3 linked regions of the Tamandua tetradactyla genome follow. The protein of the gene in region 2 purifies or fractionates together with the protein of the main gene of each other region. This does not show direct contact. Links are inferred from orthologs where the notes say so. Each region holds a gene or a part of one and is shown on either strand. Other genes may lie near its edges.

Evidence for each region.
Region 1: the proteins of DNAJB11 (region 2) and SDF2 purify together in Homo sapiens (affinity purification with mass spectrometry; 3 studies listed by BioGRID and IntAct, counting the BioPlex papers as one, with this or other methods). This does not show direct contact. The link is inferred for Tamandua tetradactyla from reciprocal best matches to the Homo sapiens genes DNAJB11 and SDF2.
Region 3: the proteins of DNAJB11 (region 2) and SDF2L1 purify together in Homo sapiens (affinity purification with mass spectrometry; 3 studies listed by BioGRID and IntAct, counting the BioPlex papers as one, with this or other methods). This does not show direct contact. The link is inferred for Tamandua tetradactyla from reciprocal best matches to the Homo sapiens genes DNAJB11 and SDF2L1.

What each region holds. Positions count from the first base shown.
Region 1 is NC_135332.1:51,869,162-51,876,628, reverse strand, and holds the start of SDF2 (stromal cell-derived factor 2), read left to right. Parts: upstream 1-4,453; 5' UTR 4,454-4,767; coding exon 4,768-4,918; intron 4,919-6,730; coding exon 6,731-6,927; intron 6,928-7,467.
Region 2 is NC_135336.1:5,481,147-5,488,348, reverse strand, and holds the start of DNAJB11 (dnaJ homolog subfamily B member 11), read right to left. Parts: upstream 3,018-7,202; 5' UTR 2,949-3,017; coding exon 2,912-2,948; intron 2,121-2,911; coding exon 2,081-2,120; intron 821-2,080; coding exon of another isoform or gene 809-820; exon of another isoform or gene 521-808; intron 415-520; exon of another isoform or gene 93-414; coding exon of another isoform or gene 25-92; intron 1-24. Other genes in the region: TBCCD1 (TBCC domain-containing protein 1), read left to right, coding at 5,380-5,715. UniProt on the Homo sapiens protein: As a co-chaperone for HSPA5 it is required for proper folding, trafficking or degradation of proteins.
Region 3 is NC_135331.1:26,318,979-26,325,986, forward strand, and holds SDF2L1 (stromal cell-derived factor 2-like protein 1), read right to left. Parts: upstream 2,471-7,008; 5' UTR 2,429-2,470; coding exon 2,233-2,428; intron 1,848-2,232; coding exon 1,651-1,847; intron 920-1,650; coding exon 638-919; 3' UTR 515-637; downstream 1-514.

The DNA.
Region 1 (7,467 bases), on a different chromosome or scaffold from region 2:
AAGACTTCTTCAGGCAGAAGCACAGCTGCAGTACAAGATGTGGCTCACAGGGAGAGGCTGGTGGTTACCATGACAGTCTCTGGAAGAGGAATGGAGCTGGGATCAGATTGCCACAGGGGAGGCCATGGCAGTCCCTCCCTTTGAACAAGAAAATGGTAGGAGGCAACTATGAGGAGACTAGAGCAAAAAGAGATCTCGTCTAATTTCCTTCACTCTGCAGTTCCAATCCACATATACTGTTTTTGTTTTGTTCTGTTCTGTTTTTTAGGGTAAAGGTCGGTGCTGGGCCTTGGATATATAAAAATGATTAAAATAAACTTCTTACCCTGGTGAAGATCATAATCTATCTCAAAAAAAAACTTGAAAATAAACTTATGGCAAAATGTAATAAATGTTATCTTAGAGTTATATACAAGGGCTATGAGAACAATGTGAGGAGGGAGGCTGGGGGATGCCTCAGAAAAGGGGATCCCTGAATCGAGAGGGCAGTTGAGAAGATAGTCTGGAAAAAGGCAACACGAGCAAAGCCTTAGGCTTGAAAGAGCCTCGTGGTCTGGGAAAGAGCCAAATGTCTGGGGTGGGGTTTAAACTAAAAGGCATAACACATTCTATATTTTATGAACAAGGGCCTAGATTATTTCAAAGGTATTGAGGAGTGAACACTCAATTTGGAATAAAGAAACCCAAAAGTTAAAATAAAATAATTCAGAGTCCACTGAATTCAGAGTATTTAAAAGACAAGTGTTTTTAAATTTGGGATTCACAACTCTTATGAACAATCTTAACTGTACTAAGCCAAGGTTTTAAGATACAGAAATGGTTAAATTCACCTGTAATCATTTTAACATGCACATCGTATTACAGGAAATAACAGTCTTTAAATCTTTTCAATGCTAGTGTATAAAAATATAATTGTTTAATAATAGCTCCTAACATAAAAAATTAAAAAATAGTTTTTAGCCCTTTTCTTTCTATTTTTCTTCGGGGAAAAAAGAAATAGCAAAAGAGGAGCAGAAACAACTAAACCCTATAATGAGATTCAGAACCTCTGCAACACAGGGAGAAAGTAGCAATTACTGAGGCTTGCAGGGAATACAAAGCCCCTGCTCAAGCACAGGGATTGGTAAACTTTTCCTGTATACTACAGGACTAGATCTGCTGTTGTAGCACAAATGAAGGCATAAATAATATGTAAATGAATGGGTGTACCCTAATTTGGCCACTGATCTTGAAGTACAGGTCTTTAAAGAACTGATGAAGGATATCAAGAGAGAGTATAACAGGGAAACTGAATCTGGCTTTTGAGGAAATGACTTTAAATAAGGACCTAAAGAGTGAAGAGGAGTTAGCTAAAAGAAGGAGCTGGTTTGGAGATGGTAGGGGGACTGCTGGTGCTGAAAAGTGTGCCCAGAAAAAGGCCTACCATGTCCTGGGGGAGTCATAGAGAGGGTCAGTCTGGGGAGAGGAAGGTTCACAACTGAGTTGAAAGTGAAATCATAAGAACCTTTGGAGGGTAAGTTAAAGATCTTGGACCCTACTCTAATGGTGCTGGGAAGTTACTGTAGGGTTTTAAACAGAGAAATGATTCACTTACTTGCCAATTCAACTATTATGTGCCAGGCATGTATTAAGCAGACAAGGTCCCTACACCTAGGATACCCATATTCTGATGCAGGAGACAAACCACAAACAAATAAATAAACTTTCCTACAAGTGCTATTAAGGAAATAAACAGGGTGCTACCTAGATAGGGCAGACATTTCTGAGAGGCTAAGTTTAGACTAAGATGCGAAGAATGGGTAGAATGTGGCATGCTGAGCCAGGGGAGGAGGTTCCCCCTAGAAAAGGTGGGCAAAACTGGGTATATGATAGGTGATGTCCTAAGGCCAGTGTCACTAGACTATGATGAAGGCAGGCAGAATGTAAGAGGGAGGATAGTTCAAGTAGGGTCATGAAGGTCACAAAAAGCCACTGGAATAGTTTTAAACAGAGAAATGACATGACCTGAACTGCCATGATCCTCCTGCACAGAAAATGGAATGGAAGAGAATTTGAATGGAAGCAGGGAAAACTGAGGATGCTTTGAGGTAACCCTGGCAGAAGATAATAGTGGCTTGAAGTATGTTGGTGGTAGTGAAGATGGAGAACAGAAGACAGACTTGAAATATATTTTGGAGGTAGAAGTGACAGGACTTTCTCAAGTACTTGTGTGTGTGTGTGGGGGGGGGGGGAGTAGGAAGTGAGGGAGAAGAATCAAAGATGATTCCCAGAGGTCTGGCTCTGGTATCCATACGGATGGGCGCGTCACTTAGGAGATGGGGTAGATCAGCTTTAGAAGCATGGGATACCCAAATTTTCATCTGGGTATGTTAGGTTTGAGATGTCTAAGAGACATCCAAATGGAGTTATCAAGTAAGAAATCTGATGTATGATTCTAGAACATGGGGAAGAGAGGGCTGGGCCAGAGATTTAATGTAAGAGTTGCCACTTTTCAGATGGCAACTGAAGTCATGGAACTGGATCACCTAAAGAAAGCATGTACATAGAAAATAGGACACAGGCTGAAATGTTGAATGAATGTCAACATTTAGACATTAGGTAGAGAACCAAAGAGGCTAAGAAAGGAGACAGAGAAAAGGCAACCAGAGAAATAGAGAAAATCCAAGAGTGAGATGTTCTAGAAAGGATAGCATGTCAAGAAAGGAGTAACTAATTATATTGAATGTCTCAGAAACTGAAGAAAACAAAAACAAAGTATCCACTGGATTTGGCAACACAGAAATTACTGGTGACCTTGACAAGAGCAATTTCAACAGAGTATTCAGAAAAGAAGCCAGAATGGAGTAGACTGAGGAGTAACTAGAAAGTTGAATTGGCACAGACAGAAGTCTGGCTATGAAGGGCAGTCAAAAGTGTGGGATGGTAGTGAGGGATCTAGAATATAATTGTGTGATAACAGGAAAAGATTTCTATGGGGAGGTAGAAAAATCAATATGATTTGGTGATTGAGCATATTTGAGGAATAATGGAGAAGAAGGATCCAAGAATTATACGTAAGTTTCTGATGGTGATGCCATTTATTGAGACCAAGAATATAGAAGCAAAGGCAAATTTATTTTCTTTCAAAGATGGTATGTTTCTACTACACTAGCTAGGTCTCCGTTCTTGAGAAGGAGGGCTTAGGAGGGAGATCTTTAATGAGTCTCTCCAGACCTCACTACTTCCTAGTGTGATGAATCTCTTGATGAGGTTAAAACCTTAAGGAATAATGGTAATATGTTAAATCTAATCTAGCAGCCACACAGGCGAACTGAATAAAAGGCCCTACATTCACAGCTGATCAGGGCATAACCATGCTTTTGTAAGTAATACAACGAAAACTTGCAAACTGGTAACTCTGAGACAAACAGTGGAACTAAGCTTCCCTCCTACCCATCACCCCCTCACAAAGAAACTAACCAAATTACCAAACAATGTTATTTACACTTCATGTTCATTAATAGCAACAGTTCAGCTTAATAAGACCTTACTACCTCCGACACTACAGTGAATTCCCACCAAGCATTTGCAGAGACCTTAAGGCCTCCCCTTAAAGAAAAATAAGTATCAGTTCTTACAATGCAGAGAAATGAATTGCCCCAAATGGTTCAAGGTGTCTGGAGAGGAAGATAGAAAATGGAAGAAGAAACAGTTTTAACTTTCTATTCTGATGCTCCTCATAGGCATTTGGCAAATGTTTGAGGAAATGAGTCAATGGAGAATGGACGAGCTTCAGTCTAAAAAGACTTTAGGTACAGTCTTTAGAAAAGGTTAAATGATGAAAACACCCTCAAGAGGTTCTAATTTTATGCTTCAAAAACACGAGAAAAGCTGAAATTTGGCATGGCCTTTAGCCTAATGGCTTAACTACTGAAGGCTCTGTAGGATTCACATCCCCAGAGCAAACAATTAGATCATCTAATCCCAGCTCAGGAGCTTCCATTCGCGTGGCCCAGTTTTCAGAAGCTTCAGAGAGAAGGACGGGATACCAGCAAGCCTGTTGGTTCAACAGGCCACCCCAATTCACAGGTTCCCGGTGCTACCGGATTGGGAAAAACCTTAAGATTTTGAAAAGCTACCCAGATTTCCTTCCTCTCCTTCTTCATGGAACAGAGAAGGCCAGGCGCCCCTTCTTCCCGCATACGTCTTTCCAATGCCTCTGCCCTTAGGAGACCAGGCCCTAGGGGCCTGGTTCCCCACTTGACCCATGCGAGAAACCCGCTCTCCAGTCCGGGCTTTACTTACCTGGCTCCCGCCGCTTCTCCGGAGCGGTAAGTCCCCACCGAGGAAAATGGAGTCGTCGAACCGAGACTGGTAAAGGATAGTACGGACCCACAGCACGGCCCCTACACCGCCACCGCCACCGCCGCCGCCGCCGCTGCTGCGTCAACGTGCTACGTCACTTCCGGCTCCCTGTCATTGGGAGTGGGTTGGCCATTTCTTGCTCCCTTTTCCCGCAGGGATCTTGGGGCCTTTGTCCAGGGGAAAGCGGGGAAAAAGGTAGCAGAAGCGGTTCAGGAAAGCAAATGTCACAGAGCCCCGGAAACGGGGCGAGGAGATCGAAAGCAACCAGGTCCGGCCGGTTTCTCAGGCCGCTCTAGCCAAAGGAACCATAAAGACCAAACCTCGGACTGCTTCACTTCCTCCTTTCAGTGTTTCTGCCTGCAGCATCCGGTTCCGGGGAGGGGCCGGGTCTTCTAAGAGTAGGGGCTTCGGAGTTCAGCCAGGATGGCTGTGGTACCACTGTTGCTGTTCGGGGGTTTGTGGGGCGCTGTGGGAGCGTCCAGTTTGGCTGTTGTTACATGCGGGTCTGTGGTGAAGCTACTTAATACACGCCACAACGTCCGGCTCCACTCACATGACGTGCGCTATGGGTCAGGTACTGCGGGGGACCGGGTTTGGTTCTGGTAGGCTCCGGAGGGAGTGGGGCCTAGAGAAAATCTGAGGAGGGTCTGGAGATTCGGTAAAACTTAATTGGCTAAAGGCATCTTAATCATAGTTTTTCAATTTTTAAAATTTCTGTTAGGTAGATAGTATTGTTATTCTCATTTTACAGATAAAGAAACCAAGAGAAATTAAATCGCTTGCTCAAAGCCTTGCAGCTAGTGAACGGCAGAGGCGGGTTTTGATCTAAATCTGTCCAATTTCAAAGTCTACTTTCAGCTATTCTAGGCTGGCATCACTCAGTGCGCTAAAGACAGAAACGTAGATATTACAGAAATGTAGATAGAAATAAGTCCTGTATTTTTGAAGTCTTGAATGCCAAAAGCGCACTTTCTGACCATAACCTGCTGTCTTCCCAGCTCTTTCGCATGTTATACTTCTTCAACTCCTACCCTTTGACCCCTTTTTGCTTGGATCTTACTCTCCTTGTAAAGAACTTAAACTAAAGCAGTGACAGGAATTGAAGAGGAAGCTGATTAGAGGGCTTTTTACCATAAAATTTAAATGCTCATTAATCAGTTATTTGTGGGTTCATTGATTCTGCATGGATTTGATGAGCTAATACTAGGTGCTTAGATACAGGAAATATGGTAGTGAACAAGTCAAGCTAAGTACAAGAAAACAAAAGTAGACGAAAAAAGAAGAATTTAGCAAGTGAGGCGCAAGAGGAATCTAAGATGATTGTCAGATTTTGGTCTTGGATGACTGATGATGCTAGTAACTAAGAAAGGAAGGAGTATCAGAGAAAAGTCTTGGGAAATATGGGATACCTTCAAAGAATTGGGTAGCAAATGGTGTCTAGGAAAGAAGATGTCTCTGGAGTTTATTTGAGAACAGCCTGCTTTGGGGAACTTGACAGAATATAAAATTGGACGAGGAAAAATGGCTTGTGGGAGGCCATGTGGTGGAGTGGAGCATCAGGCTGCCTGTGTTCAAACCCCAGTCCTGACTCTTGGAGCTATGTGACCTTGGGTACCTAGCTCAGGAAACAAATACTTGTATCAAATAAGAATATTCAGGCAAAGGGTTTGGGTTGGTGCCTAGCATCTAGTAAGTGCTCAGTACACATTAGCAACCTGTAGCTAATAATGATCATTTGTTTTTGTTGTTGTTGTTTTAAACTTGTAGCTATATGTTTAGTGCAGTACCTTTTAATCTGTAGAATTATACCACTTTGAGGCAGCATTATCTAAATTTAGATGACTCAAAAATACTTTCATAATAAATTGATAGACCATTCATGGGAGTTTTGGAGCTGTAATGGCTGCTTGGATTAAAGTTGACAGCAAAAAGTGGTCTCGTTTTAATTGTGAAATGTGATAATTTTTATTGTAATATACACTTAACACTGAATAATATTACAAACATGTTAAAATTATGTGATTAGACACATGGCATATACTAGGGGCTATACAGGTTCATATATAAAGGTAAGCACTGCCAGTGCTTCCAAAAAACACGTATATTTGCGTATCTAATGCTCTTTGGTGCAAATTCTTGAAATTTTTTAAAAGGACATATTCTTAAGTATAGTTTTATCATACAATAACTAATACTTTATTAATGTATTTAGTATTCATAGTTTAATGTTTTAGAAGAAAAAATATTACAAAGCATAATGTTTCCTCCCTGTTCTTCTATACCTATTTATGACATAAAACACAGTACTGTCCATAGGAAAGAGAAGGGTCAGGTTGAGTTCATTCTCCTTCTTTTTTTTTTTTCTCCATTCTTTTTTTGACTGTAGGTAGTGGGCAACAGTCAGTGACGGGTGTAAGTTCTGTGGATGACAGCAATAGTTATTGGAGGATACGGGGCAAGACTGCCACAGTGTGTGAGAGGGGAACCCCCATCAGATGTGGCCAGCCCATCCGGCTGACACATGTCAACACTGGTCGAAATCTCCATAGTCACCACTTCACTTCACCTCTTTCTGGAAACCAGGTGAGGTAGCATCCAGTGGATCATTTCTGCTTTAAACATTACTCAGTTGGGTTGTTGTTTGATCTTCTGGTTCTTAGTTCTTTCTTTTCCAGGTGAAGATGTTCTCTTTTATGCACACTTGGAGAAATGACTCTGTCTCTTTCTTAAGTGTAAAGAGAATTGTTTCTGGTCAAAAGGGAGACTTTATATCTAGATCAAATCAAGAAATAGAAAGGAAAAACAGAATAAGTATATTGTAAGTTCTGATAAATCCTGTTGTAATGTGTAATAATGTAATAATGAAACCCAGTGTTTTCCATGCTCACAATAAAAATGATGATTGTTTTTTAATAATGTGAACTAACTGTGGCACCATTGTTATGAGGTAGCGTTCTATAGGGTTACCTTTGGCAACCTCCATATTAGGAAAATGAATTCGGTATTGTGCCACTTATTTAAGCCTTGAGCCTTCAGGGTATGTGGACGTCTTAATGACTATTTCTCCCCCTGTGCACAGTTTCCTCTACTATTAACATCTTAACATTACTATGGTACATTTGT
Region 2 (7,202 bases):
TGCTTGCCGATGCCTGTCCCTCACCCAGCGATCACGGCCCCGATGAGGTACAGCAGCAACAGGCAGAAGGTGCCCAGGTTCTGCGGGGCCATAGTTCTTCCGTCCCGGCCCGGGTCTCACGCACTCCTCGCCGTCTCCCCCGTGGCCACTTCCGCTAGCCAGTCCGCACGGCCCTGTGAGGCCACCTCACGCCGGGGGTCTCCTCCTCGGTCCGCAGCCACAGCTAGCTTGCCCACTCCTTCGCTGGTCGACTTCCCGGGAGTCCCAAATCCCAGTGAAAGAAGCCCCCAGCGGACGAGAGCCAATCGCTGCTAGGGACATCACACGCGGCCGGCGCCGCGGAGCCAATCAGAGCAGTACACTTCACCTCCGAGGCGGCGCGACCTCCAGTTAAGCAGCCCCAGCTCTCGGCCAATTAGAAAAGAAGACGTCAGAGTGTCGCGCCGCCGCAGGAAGCCGTGCAGCCCCGCCTGTCGCAGAAAACTACGTAAAGAGAGGGGGGAGGTGGGTGCCACAGGAGGACACCGGAGGCACAAGAAGGTCCTCCCGCCCGGCCCCTTGGACTCTCCACCAATCACGGGGCGCTTCCTCCAGCACCGACCAATTGCAGGAGGAAGGCTTTTTCTAGGTCACATGTCTCGGAATTTCATTCATTTTGAGCGTCCTTCCGGACGCCAGTACGCAAGGATGACGGCAAAATGGGCGGGACAGTTATTCCAGGCTCAATGTACATCGGTTCCACTGCTTAAGAGATTTTATTTTAAATAATCCAAACAATCTCCTGAGAAAATTTTACAGAGAAAAAGCCATGGTGCCTAAGGTGAGCATCTTTGATGTAGGTAGATAGACTTAGGTTCGGATTCGGCTTCCACCACTTCTTAACCGTAAGACGAGCCTAAGGTACTTGATGAACAAAATTGGGGCAAAACACTACTGGAAGTGTTGTGAGTTTTTAATGTTAGGAAATCTGTAAATTGTCTAGCACAGCATCAGGCGTATAGTAAGCACGCAATGAATAATAACTTATTGCAGTTATGAATGGAACTATTTGATTCGTCCCAATCTTCACCTACTTTTGATCATTTCAGTAAACGCACCACCTCGTTGTTGAGGACAAAATTCTTGGTGCCTTTCTTGATTCTTTTCCTGCATCACTTGTCCAATTCTTTACCTCTTAACTGTGTCCTGAATCTCTGGTGCACTGCTCTACATATCCACTACCTCTCTGGGCTAAGTCAATATCATCTCTCCCTGACAGGGACTCCTAACTGACGTCCCTGCCTTTACTGTTAATATCCTACCATCCATTTTCAGCCTCTGCGCTCCCCACTCCCCAACGACAAAAATAAATAATAAATAAATAATTAAGATTATGTGGCTTCTCTGCTTAAAAGCTCCAAATGGCTTTTCATTACACGTAGAACAAAATTCCAACTCTTCCTACCCTACCTTATGAAACCTTACATGACCTGTACTCTCACCTAGGATACTGCCAACAAAACTAGCTTCTTTTCTCTTTTTTGAACACACCAAGCTCATTCCTGCCTTAGGGTCCTTGTACTAGCTGTTCCCTCTACCTGAGACACTCTTCCCTCAGATCCTAACATGGATAACTCCTTTCTTATATCAGTTTAAATGTCACTTCAGAGAGGACTTCCCTGTCCATCCAATCAAAATTAGCACATACCAAATCCCTTATTCTCACAACACCCTATTTTGTTTCCATCCCTGACCCTCACATCCCCACACTTATATGTCAGTTCCACAGGATCATGAATCTGGTCTGTTATATTCACTCTTATACCCCTAGTATCTTAGAACAGAATAGGCACACAACTATTTTTTTGGTAAATGGATGACTAGTTGCTTTGATTGTGACCTCCATATGGCTGCTTCTTTAGGCTTTAGCTCAAATGTCGGCCCTATTAAATGGCCTTCTTAGTCTCCCGCCTCCCAGTTTTCATAGCACTTTTTACATTTGAAATTATTCTATTTCCTCAATATGTATTGTGTATTCTTCCTATTAAAATACACACTTCAAGAAGGATGTGCACTGGTGGCTCAGTGGCAGAATTCTCACCTGCTGTACCGGAGACGCGGGTTCGATCCCCAGAGCCTGCCTGTGCCAAAAAAAAATGGAAAATATACACTCCAAGAAAGCAGGGATCCTCTCTGTTTTGTTCATTGCTGTAACCCTTGTGCCTTGCATTGTGTCAGGCACACAGTGGTGCTCGATGAATAATTATTGCTGTTGGCAGAAAACTAAGACATAGATAAGTGACAAAATTTGCCAAAGGTCAATGAGCTAGTAAATGGTGCAGCCTGAATCCTCAACCAGGTCTGTCTGAATCGAAGTCCCTGTTTTTTGCATCTACACATATGTGGGACTAAGAGGAAGACATGGTTTACTACTTTTAGGAAGATGTCTCTTAGGGAGAGAAGCCACGTAAATGAGGAAGTAAACTACACTTTTTGTCTTATATCCCTTTGTATCCCCCACACCAAGAGAGGCCATAAAGGAACAAAGAAAAGCAGGAAAAGGCCACAAATCATAAATAAGAGGTGATATCTTCTGCTGGGTGGAATAAAAAAAAATCTTCACGAAGACGGTAACACGGCAGGAAAACTAACAGAGTTAAGGAGATAACGCAAGGGGCTTTCATCTCCGACTGCCTGGGTTTAAATGTTGGCTCTTCTCTAATTGTGTGCCCTTAGGGGTGTGTTACTTAAATCTCTCTACAATCCCAGTTTCTTCATCAGTATAACAAATGTTTTTAATTTGATGGACTCTTGGGAAGACTGAAAAAAAATGCACGTATAAGTGCTTTACACAGTGCCCAGCCCATAATAAGCGCTCTATAAATCTAAACTGCCATAATCATTATTACTTATCAAAGCGTGCTGACCTTACCAGCCGCTACTGACAGACCCACGGTTCTGTAGAGCATTAGAAAACTTATTCTCTGGGTGGAAAGACGCGCCACTAGAGAGCAGCCGGGTCTGGCTCCTCATCGAGGACTCCAGGCCTCCCAATTGGTCTCCGTCACTGAAGAGGCGGCGCTCTAGCAACGCCGCCTGCTGCTTCTCGGTGATACAAGCCCCCGCGCATGCGCATTGGGTGTCGAGGCGCGCTGGGAACCCGGGTGTAGGGGCTTTGCGCTCGCAGGTAACAGCGCGCGGCGGTCGGTGGCTGGTGGGCTGGGAGAGGGATGAATGGGTCAAGTTTTAGGCTGGGATTGAGAAGGGTGTATTCGCGCTTCCCAGACGCGAAGCCAGGGTGCGCTTCGGACCCTGTCAGCTGGGGCGTCTCTGTTTCCATAGCTCGGGCTTCCCGTATCAGGGCTCTGGCACGTCCCCGCCGCCTTTTCCCGGCTGTGTTCTAGGCGGCGGCCCGGCCGTTGTCCACACGCCGGCCTCCCCGCCGGAGAAACCTTAACGCCAGCGTCTCCCTGAGGAGTTTTAGGAGAGGTAAAGGCCCCAGGATATGTTTGTTTGTGAATTTCGACTTCCGGAATTTGGAGACCTTGGAAAGGACGTCCTTAGGATATGGCTTTTGACTGCGAGTTTAGACCTCCGGAGTTGCAGAATTAGAAGAGACCTTAGAGAGTATACATCCGTAGGATTTGGCTTTTGATTGCACACTTCAGAGCAGCCTATTTACGTTTTGGGAAGAACTAAGATTTTCCTCCTGTAACCATCCTCTAGTTGTATTCAGAACGATATTAAGCCTTGCCCATTTAGGGAAGACTTGTTTACTCTCCACGCGCCTTTTTGGCTCAGAATCCCAAACTCCTTCACCTGGCCCTTATTTGGTCTCATGTCTAAGGCTCTTTATTATAGTCGGCGTCCCGTTTATTAAAGGTTCATCCAAATTGAATTCCCAAAGTACATCTGTAACAACACGATTCTCAAGTCAGAGAAACATTTAATTGTAATCTAGGGCCGTGCGAACTAATTATGCAGTTTTGGTCAAGTCTTTTAACTTCTCTAAACCTCATTTCCCTCATCTGTAAATGAGATGGAGGTGTTGTGAGGATGAAAACATGAAGTACGCAAAATGTTTAGCATGCTGCCTGGCATATAGTAAGCACTGGATTAGTGTCAGTTTTTAAAAACAGCTTTATTGAGATATAATTCATCTACAGTTCGTCAATTTAAAGGGCACAATTCAAGGGTTTTAAGTATATTCACAGATTTGTGCAACCATTGGCACAGTGAATTTTAGAACGTTTTCATTACATTAAAAGAAACCTCTTCGTCTTTAGTTTTCACATCATGTTTTCCATTATGAGAAAATTCCCCCCCAGGCCTAAGCAACCACCAACCTACTTACTGTTACATAGGTTTCCCTGTTCTGGACATTTCATACAATATGTGTTTTTTGGTGAATGGCTTGTTTTATTTAGCATAATGTATATTTAAGGTTCATCTTGTAACATTCATCACTACTTCATTACTTTTTATGGCTGAATAATATACTGTTGTATGGATATACCACATTTTGTTTATCTATTCATCAGTTGATGGGCTTTTGGGTTGTTTCCATCTTTTGGTGATTGTGAATAATGCTGCTATAAACATTTGTACGTAAGTTTTTGCATGGACAATCAATTATTTTTTTGAACAATTTCCAAAAGATGCATAGTTATAAGGAAAGGCTTTTTTTTTTAAAGATGATGTTACTTAATGGTGAGGAGTATTCAATGAAGAGAGTACTGTGGTCAAGTGATGGTACAATTTGGTAAAATTTTGGAAAGCAATAGAAATATATGTCAGGAGCTTCAAAAATGTCAGTATTACTTCATCTGTCAGATACACATCTGATAATTTTCCTTGGGAAATCATTTATAATGCAGAAGCAGCTATGCAGAAAGATGGTAAACAGCATTATTTATAATTTTGAAAACACTTAAACTTATTAAGGACATTTTTAGTATACACAAAAGTAGAGTATACCCATCACCCAGCGTCAAAAGTGATCAATATTTTGTCTATCTTGTTTTTGTGAAAAATTTTTATACCTGTTAAATGTCTAAAATTAGGTGACTGGTTGAGTAATAGCAAGGAATACACTTTTGCATACTCTTCCTTTAATCGCCAATGAAAGTAACAATACAAGCAAGACAATTTTGTTGTATTGCAAAAATCTTCTTGCCCAAGTAGATTTTAATGAAATCCAATAAAAACTTTATTCTACTTCTGGTTGATGAAATAGTGCTACTTTTCAAACTGGTGTAGTACATTTAAAAACAGTTAAGGGAGGTGTCACCTTCTAAGACATTTATAAATGAGTTTTGTTGTTTCAGATCAGTTTGTGAAGAAACTTTGTTTCCTAGGTATGCAAAGAAGACTTTTTACACAATTGTCCTTAGAGATAGCATGGATCAGTCTGGAGTTCTCCTTTGGGTGAAAGCAGAACCATTTATGGTGGGCGCCTTACAGGTGCCTCCTCCATCCAAGTTCAGCCTTCACTATCTCAGGAAGATATCCAGCTATGTGCGAACCCGGGCCACATGCAGTGCTTTCCCACGGCTCTACTGGTCTACATGGAGGCACATTGCGTGTGGGAAACTGCAGTTGGCTAAGGATCTGGCATGGCTTTACTTTGAAGTATTTGATAGTCTTGTGGAAAGGACACCCGAAGAGCGTCTGGAATGGTCTGAGGTTATGTCCAATTGCATATCTGAGGATGAAGTCGAAAAGCAAAGAAATCAGGTATGGATTTTTGTGTGTGTGAAATTGTTAGGGAAATGAATAATTTCTTTCTTTATCTGTGATCTTTGTACCAGCTGGATAGTTTATTTTAGGCTAATGACCATTGTGATCCCAAAGGTCTATTTGAGTTTTGGCAGTTCTGGTTTGTCAGTATTTAATATATTTAATGAATTGTTTCTTACTCACCCATCCTTATTTTATCCTAAAGCAATAATGTTATGTGAATCCTATAACTGAAAGAGGAGAATAGTTCCATTGATTTAAAAAATATTTTGGTGTGTGTGACTGCTTATGAACCACTGATATGTTAGTCAGGGTGCACATTTTTTTTCACATTTCTTTTTTTTTAATTAATTAAAAAATTTTTAAAAAATATAACAACAAACACAAACATTCTTAACATATGATCATTCCGTTCTACATGTATAATCAGTAATGCACAGTATCATCTCCTAGTTGCATATTCATCATCATAATCATTTCTTAAAACATTTGCATCAATTCAGAAAAAGAAATAAAAAGACAACAGAAAAAATTCATACATACCATACCCCTTACCCCCCCTTTCATTGATCACTAGCATTTCATTCTACTCAATTTATTTTAACATTTGTTCCCCCTATTATTTATTTTTATGCTGTATGTTTTACTCATTTGTTGATAAGGTGGATAAAAGCATCAGACACAAGGTTTTCACAATCACACAGTCACATTGTGAAAGCTATATCATTATACAATCATCTTCAGGAAACATAACTACTGGAACACAGCTCTACATCTTCAGGCAGTTCCCTCCAGCCCCTCCATTACATCTTGACTAACAAGGTGATATCTATGTAATGCGTAAGAATAAGCTCCGGGACAACCTCTTGACTCTTTGGAATCTCCCAGCCATTGACACTTTATTTTGTCTCATTTCATTCTTCCCCCTTTTGGTCGAGAAGGTTTTCTCAATCCCTTGATGCTGAGTCCCAGCTCATTCTAGGATTTCTGTCCCACGTTGCCAGGAAGGTCCACACCCCTGCGAGTCATGTCCTGTGTAGATGGGGTGAGGGCGGTGAGTTTGCTTGTTGTGTTGGCTGGAGAGAGAGGCCACATCTGAGCAAAAACAGGGGTTCTCTTGGGGGTGACTCTTAGTCCTAATTTTAAGTAGGCTTAGTCTGTCTTTTGTGGGGTTAAGTTTCATATGAACAAACCCCAAAATTGAGGACTCAGCCTATTGCTTTGGTTGTCCCCACTGCTTGTGAGAATATCAAGAATTCTCTACTTGGGGAAGTTGAATTTTCCTCCTTTCTCACCATTCTCCCAAGGGGACTTTGCAAATACTTTTTTACTCACTGTTCAGATCACTCTGGGATTTATTGGGGTATCACTCTGGACAAACCTAGAAAATCTTATGCCCTACTCAAGGCTCCCTGTACTTATGGTGTTCAATTAAGCTGTTCACATAAGTTATATTAGGAAATGCACTAGTCAAAATATAAATT
Region 3 (7,008 bases), on a different chromosome or scaffold from region 2:
GACTGGACATGCTTGTGCAGCGGGAAGGGACCAGGAAGAGGTAAGCTATGATGCTAGTTTTCAGCAGATGGGCAGAGCCCTGGATCAGAGACAAGTGTCACAGGCAGCCCCAAAGGCTCGGGGTGCTAGGAGAAGGGGGCTCTCGCCAAGGGGTGAGGGGGCTGGAGAGCTTGTGCCCCATCCCAGCTGGTAGCAAGTGAGGCTCCTCTGATCCCCCTGCCCTGAGGCCTGAGCTCTGTCTTTTTTTTTTAACAGAAAGGTTCATGCAATTCAGGGGCTGGGAAACTGGGGTCACTTCCATCAGAGAATCCAAGGGTGGACAGAGGGCTCTGATCACCAGGGCTGGCCCCAAACTTGGGATGCTCAGCTTTGGAGGGCTGGGAAAAAAAGAGCACAGCCAGATTTGGGTGGGTTCGGCAGTCAGGCTGGGCTGGTAGACAGGAGTTTTACAACAAGGAAAAGACAATGCATGGGATCAGGGAGGACAACCGCCAGGCTCACAGAGAAACACAACCACAGAGTAACATTCTTTAATCGCAAAGGCACTTGCGGACACCCCCTACACCCAAAGTCCCCTCCGAGCCTGGCTCCCAGGATGCCTGGACTCTCTGCCTCCCTCACCCACCCATCCAGGAAGTCAGAGTTCGTCGTGACCCGCGGAGGGCTCCGGGCTGGGCTTGATGAAGACGCCTTCCAGAGCCTTCCACGTGTTGTGGACATTGGCGCTCGGCATGCCGTGGACCTCGTGCTGTCCACGGATGGGGCTCCCGTACTGCTCACCCGTCACAGACAGGAACACGGAGGTGCCCACGTGCTGGAAGCGCACGGCGGCCCCTCGCTCCCAGTGCTGGCCGGAGCAGCGCACCGTCCACAGGTCCAGGTCATCGCCCTCGCCATCCTCCCCGAAGGCGCTCACCTCCTTGGGGTGGGGGTCGGGGTGAGAGTGGGGACAGCGGTCACTTACAGAGGACAGACCGAGTTCCCTGCAGCTGCCAGCCTGGCAGAGGTACCTGTCCTTCCCAGCCCCACTCTGAGATTTGGCTTTTACCGCTGCAGAACGGGGCTCCACCACCCCAAGCCCAGCATCCCAAACAGGGGATCTTCAAACAGACACATGCACTCCCAGCCTCCATTTCCTCCTCCATGGTTGCGGGTCCTCACTACTCACTTGGACCAAGCCTCAGCTAAGATTGCAACCCACCAGGCTGACACTCAAGGTCTCTAGTTACCCCAAACTTTCTCTTTACCCCTCCCAGAAAGCACCCCCATCGAAGTTCCAATCACCTCTCCGCCTGGGCCTGGAAAGTCACTAGTTTCTTGGACTAGGGCCCAGAAAACTCCTACTCATCCTTCAGCACCCAGCCGGAGTCCTTCCCCTGAACGCCTCCCCAGAGAGGGGTTATCCTGGCAGAGCTCTCTTTCAGGTCCCCCGGGATGCTCTTGGGAGGGGGGATCACCTGTCACCCCAGAGGGTGTGCCCGGCAAACACTGCTGAACTGAAATTCCCATTTAACAGATGAGGAAGCTGGAGGCTCAGAGAGGGTGGGGGCTAGGGTCCTGAGGTCCTGCCCGGCCCATGCCCCTCTCCTACCCACCCACACACACATATCGGCCGTGGTGGAGGTGGGGGTCCCCGGGCTGGGGCCTCACCTGGTTTTCGGACAGCGGCGACGGGAAGTGGTGCGTGTGCAGGTTCTTGCCCGTGAGCACGTGCGTGAGCCGCACACCCTGGCCGCAGCGCACCGGGGCCCCGCGCGGGCACCCGCCCTCCGCGCCGCCGCGGATCCGCCAGTAGCTATTGACGTCGTCGGACGCCTCGACGCCGGTCACCGACTGTTGGCCGCTGCCTGGGGGTGGGGCGGGGAGGGGGCAGACGGTACAGGAGAGAAGGATCAAGGGCACTGACTCAGATCAGGACCCTCCCCACCCAGCCACAGGGGATCAACACCCATCTTGTCCTCCCAACCCTTGCCCCCGACACCCATCGACTTCCCCCGACGACTCCAACAGCCCAACCCGACCCCCTACCCCTGGCTCCCGGCTGATCACCACACACACACACCCCCAAGTTCTTGGCCTGCAATCCCCCCCTGCCCGCGCCAACCACCATCACCAATATCCCGACGCCCCTCCTCAACGCGAGATCCTCGCGGCGATCGGCGTCCACACAGACCCCGGACCCGACCCCCTGGAGATCCCCAGGGCCCCGGCTCGCGGCCCAGCCCCGCGCACCAGATCCGTATTTGATGTCGTGCGAATGCAGCCGCACCCGGTGCTGCGTGTTGAGCAGCTTCAGCACCGACCCGCAGGTCACGACTCCCGTGCCGCTCTTGGTGGCCCCGCCGCCGGGCACCAAGAGCGCCAGCAGCAGCCCCAGAAGCGCCGCGGATCCCGCCGCCCGGCCGCGACCCCAGCCCGCCCTGCGCATCGCCCTGGTCCCCCGGCTGCGGCAGCCCGGGCCCCAGGGCTACTTCCGCCCCCGCCTACAGCCAATCCGGCTCTGACAGCGCCTGGCCGCCGCGGCCAATCGCCGGCCCACGCAGCGCCCCGTCTGCACAGCCATTGGGCCGGCGTGGAGGGGACCCGCCCCCGAGCCTTTCGGAGAGCGTCTGGGAGGGGGCTGGAGACACGAGGAGAGTTCTGATTGGTCCTCACTTACGAGGGCTCACCAATGAGAGGCAAGGGAGGGGTGGGCGGTGCTGGACGGTAGGAACGCGTGGAGTAGCGCTTGCAGGTGAGCGCCGGGCGGCTGCGGAGCCGGGACCCCTCGCACCCCGGGGTCCACGGAGCTCCCTAACCTTGGACACCCCTGCCCTCAATTATTACTCTCTCCCACGACACCGAGCCCGCAGCTGCAAGGTCTTGAGGTTTCCAGATCCCTAAATCAGTGGACCCCAAAGTTATCGAATCTTGTAGTCCCTCGGTCCCTGGGGTGACCCTGAGGTTAATCGGCCACCCGGTCATTCCCGGACATTCGGTCACCTCAGCCAACCCGGTCCTCTTGTGCCGGGATCCTTCTGTGGCAGAATCCCTTGTCCACTTGGCCATCGGGCAGCAGAGGGCAGCAGGGAGCTGTGATGTTTAGAATAATGGCAGGTTCTCGCCAGGAAACACCAAAGCTGTTTTAGGGACTGGAAGTGTAAATACAAATAGAAAATAATAATTTTCCCTGGTGCAAAAATAAAAATAAATAAATAATGGGGGGGGGGGACAGAGATTCCCCTCACCATGCACATTCCCTTTTTTAGAACATTTTCTTTAGAAAGCTTGTCATCCTAAATTCTTCCCCTGTATGTGAATTTTTTAAAAAAGCTAAATAACCCCCCTGCCAGCTTTACAATCCAGAAAGTTCCTTCTCAAGGACCTGGGAGCTATCTCTTTGAAATGTTAATCATCTAGGAAGATAGTGCCCCTATCTCCCAGTTTCCAAGGGAGGATCGGCTCGAAGTTACAAACCTACCTACCTCCAGTATCAAAGATATGAGAAAATTCTGGATGAAGGCATTTAAGCAACATTGGCTGCCCCAATGGCCAGGTGGCTTTAGGATATATTTTAGGCATCTTTGAAAAATTGGTGCTCATGCTTGAGGACGTGTTATCTTTATCTTGAGAACATGCTTGCAATGAGTTGTAGTTGTGTGGTATGGAAATGTATAAAATTCCTTTTTGTCACTTCAGTCTCTAGCGGGTTTCCCGCGATAAGACATTACATTCTGATTTTACACTTCTTCAATCATGAAATGGTTTTCTTTCTCCTCTGCTTTTATGCTGAGATGTTTAAAGGTTGGCAGGAGATTTTGTTTTTTATTACATTCCCCCAACAGAATCCAGGGTCCAAGGACAAAGAGATATGAGAGGAACCAAGCTTGAGTGATGGTCTGGCCAGTCCCAGATTTCCTGGATATGTCCCAGGCTTGCTGCCTCCCCTGAGGGCTGTCAGCTCAGTTGGTGGGGGAGGAAAACTTACTCCAGTGTTTATTCATTACAGGAGCATCCTGCCAACTTCCCTCCAGGCCCAGTGCAGGGAGCCAAGAGGGAATTGGCTCTGGGCTGCTTTACCCAATAGTCTGACTTTGGTGCTTGGGGCACCAGAGAGGCAGGGAGAAAAGTTCATATCTAATGAAATCATCCAGAATTTTGCATTTGGGAAATCCAGAGAAAGCCACTTGAATTCTAGCAACAGGTTAAATTTAGGATTTTCAGGTTTAATACTGTTTTTTTGTTTTGTTTTAAATTACCAAGAAATAGGGCATCTTGATGTTTTCTGCGTTTAGGGTGTCTCACTGGTTAAAGGATTTAACAGACCCTGCACTTGAGGGGCCTCTGGTCTGGGATGGGGGTGGGGGGAAGGCTAAAGCATGATTTTGGAAGCATTGAACATGTTTGTTTTGGTTTGCTAGAGCTGCCAGAATGCAATACACCAGAAAAAAGGGGATTTATTGGGTGAGCCATGGTGGCTCAGCAGGCAGAGTTCTCGCCTGGTTCAAGTCCCAGTGCCTGCCCATACAAAAAAAAAAGCGGGGGAGGGGGGATGGATTTATTAAGTCGCAAGTTTACAGTTCTAAGGCCATAATACCTTGACAAGAGGAAGGCTGATATCTGTCATGTGGGAAAGCCTGTGATTGCCCTCTGCTGGTCCTTTGGCTTCAATAGCTTCCCCGGGGGCATTTTCTTTCTGCATCTCTAAATGTCTGGGCCTCCTGTTGGCTCTGTCAGCTCTAGAGCTTTATCCAAAATATTTCCTCTTAAAGGACTCCAGTAAACAACCCCACCTTGAATGGGCAGAGACACATCTCTATGTAAACCATCTAATCAAAAGGTGCCACCCACCATTGGGTGGGTCACATTTCTATGGAAACAACTTAATCAAAAGGATTCCAGCCAACAATACTGAATGAGGATTAAAGAACATGGCTTTCTACTTAAAATTAGGCCTAAGAGTCACCCCCAAGAGAACCTCTTTTGTTGCTCAGATGTGGCCTCTCTCTCCAGCCAACACGACAAGCAAACTCACCACCCTCCCCCTGTCTATGTGGGACATGACTCCCAGGGGTGTGGACCTTCCTGGCAATGTGGGGCAGGAAACCTAGAATGAGCTGAGACTCAGCATCAAGGGATTGAGAAAAAAACCTAGAATGAGCTGAGACCCAGCATCAAGGGATTGAGAAAACCCTCTCAGCCAAAAGGGGGAAGAGTGAAATGAGGCAAAGTGTCAATGACTGAGAGATTCCAAACAGAGTTGAGAGGTTATCCTGGAGGTTATTCTTACGCATTAAGTAGATATCACCTTATTACCCAAGAGGAAATGGAGAGGCTGGAGGGAACTGCCTGAAAATGTAGAGCTGTGTTCCAGTAGCCAGGTTTCTTGATGATGATTGTATAATGATATAGCTTTCACAATGTGACTGTGTGGTTGTAAAAACCTTGTGTCTGATGCTCCTTTTATCTACCTTGTCAACAGATGAGTAGAACATATGGAATAAAAATAAATAATAGGGGGGACAAATGTTAAAATAAATTTAGTTTGAAATGCTAGTGATCAATGAAAGGGAGGGGTAAGGGGTATGGTAGGTATAATTTTTTTCTGTTTTCGTTTTATTTTTCTGTTGTCTTTTTATTTCTTTTTCTGAATTGATGCAAATGTTCAAAGAAATGATCATGATGATGAATATGCAACTATGTGATGATATTGTGAATTACTGATTATATATGTAGAATGGAATGATCATATATTAAGAATGTTTGTATTTCTTTCCTGTAATTTTTTTTTAATTAAAAAATTAATTTAAAAAATTTTTTTAAAAAAGAAGAAGAACATGGCTTTTCTGGGGTCTACAACAGTTTCAAAATGGCACAGTGTCCTTTCTATGCATCTTAAAATCAACATGTTGGGTGACACATAGAGCACTTCCTGGCTGAGCAAGGACCCACAGTATCCCTGCCCTCCTCCTTGGACCCCCCAGAAGCATGCCAAGCTTTAGCTGCTATAACTTTGGATGTTGCCCACCCTGAGCACATCTCGTTTTAAGAAAAGAGCACATACCAAAATGTCTTCCCAAGATCTGCACACAGGCCCCTGGCCCTTAGCCACAGGTGTGTCTCAACATATCTAATCTGTAGAGCGGTTGCCATGGGCACACATATACTCGAGTGAACCTCTTGGCATTTGTGTTAGTTTGCAAGCTGCCGGAATGCAATATGCCAGAAATGGAATGGCTTTTTATAAAGGGGAATTGAATAAGTTACAAGTTTACAGTTTTAGAAAGTGAAAATGTCCAAATTAAGGCACCAACACAACACTCACCAACACTTGAAGGTAACCTTCACTCAAGAAAGGCCGATGGCTCAGGAACCCCTCTGTCAGCTGGGGAGTCACGTGGCTGGCACCTGCTGATCCCTTGCTCCTGGGATCCATTGCTTTCAGCCTCTGGTCCTGTAGGACTTCCTCACTTTGCTTCTCCAGGGCTGGCTTTCATCTCTTGGCTTCATCTCCAGGCATTGGCTTGCTTAACATCTCATGGTGACATCTGCTGGGCTCCAAGCATCTGCAAACATCCGTGTTTCTGTTCTCCACGTGTTGGCATCTGTGTCAGCTCTGCTGTGAACTTTCTGTCGGCTCTGAGACTTCTGTCACTTCTGTCGTTTCTGGCTCTCTCCCAAACGTCTCCCCTTTTGAAGGATTCCAGTGAACTAATCAAGACCTACCCGGAATGGGTGGAGTCACATCTCATCCAATGAAAAGGTCACACTCACAATTAGGTGTACCACATCTCCATGGAGATAATCTAATCAAAAGATTCCACCCTACAGTATTGAATCAAGATGAAAAGAAACAGCTGCCCTCATGAGATTGGATCAGGATCAAAACATGGCTTTTCGGGGTACCCGATACTTTCAAGCTGGCACCCATCTCACTGTGAATCACGAGGTAGCTGCAGCTGTCTGTAAGGGAGAGCCTAATAAATGCCCAAGGACTTATCACTCTGATGTTCAGTGCTTCTTTTTTCA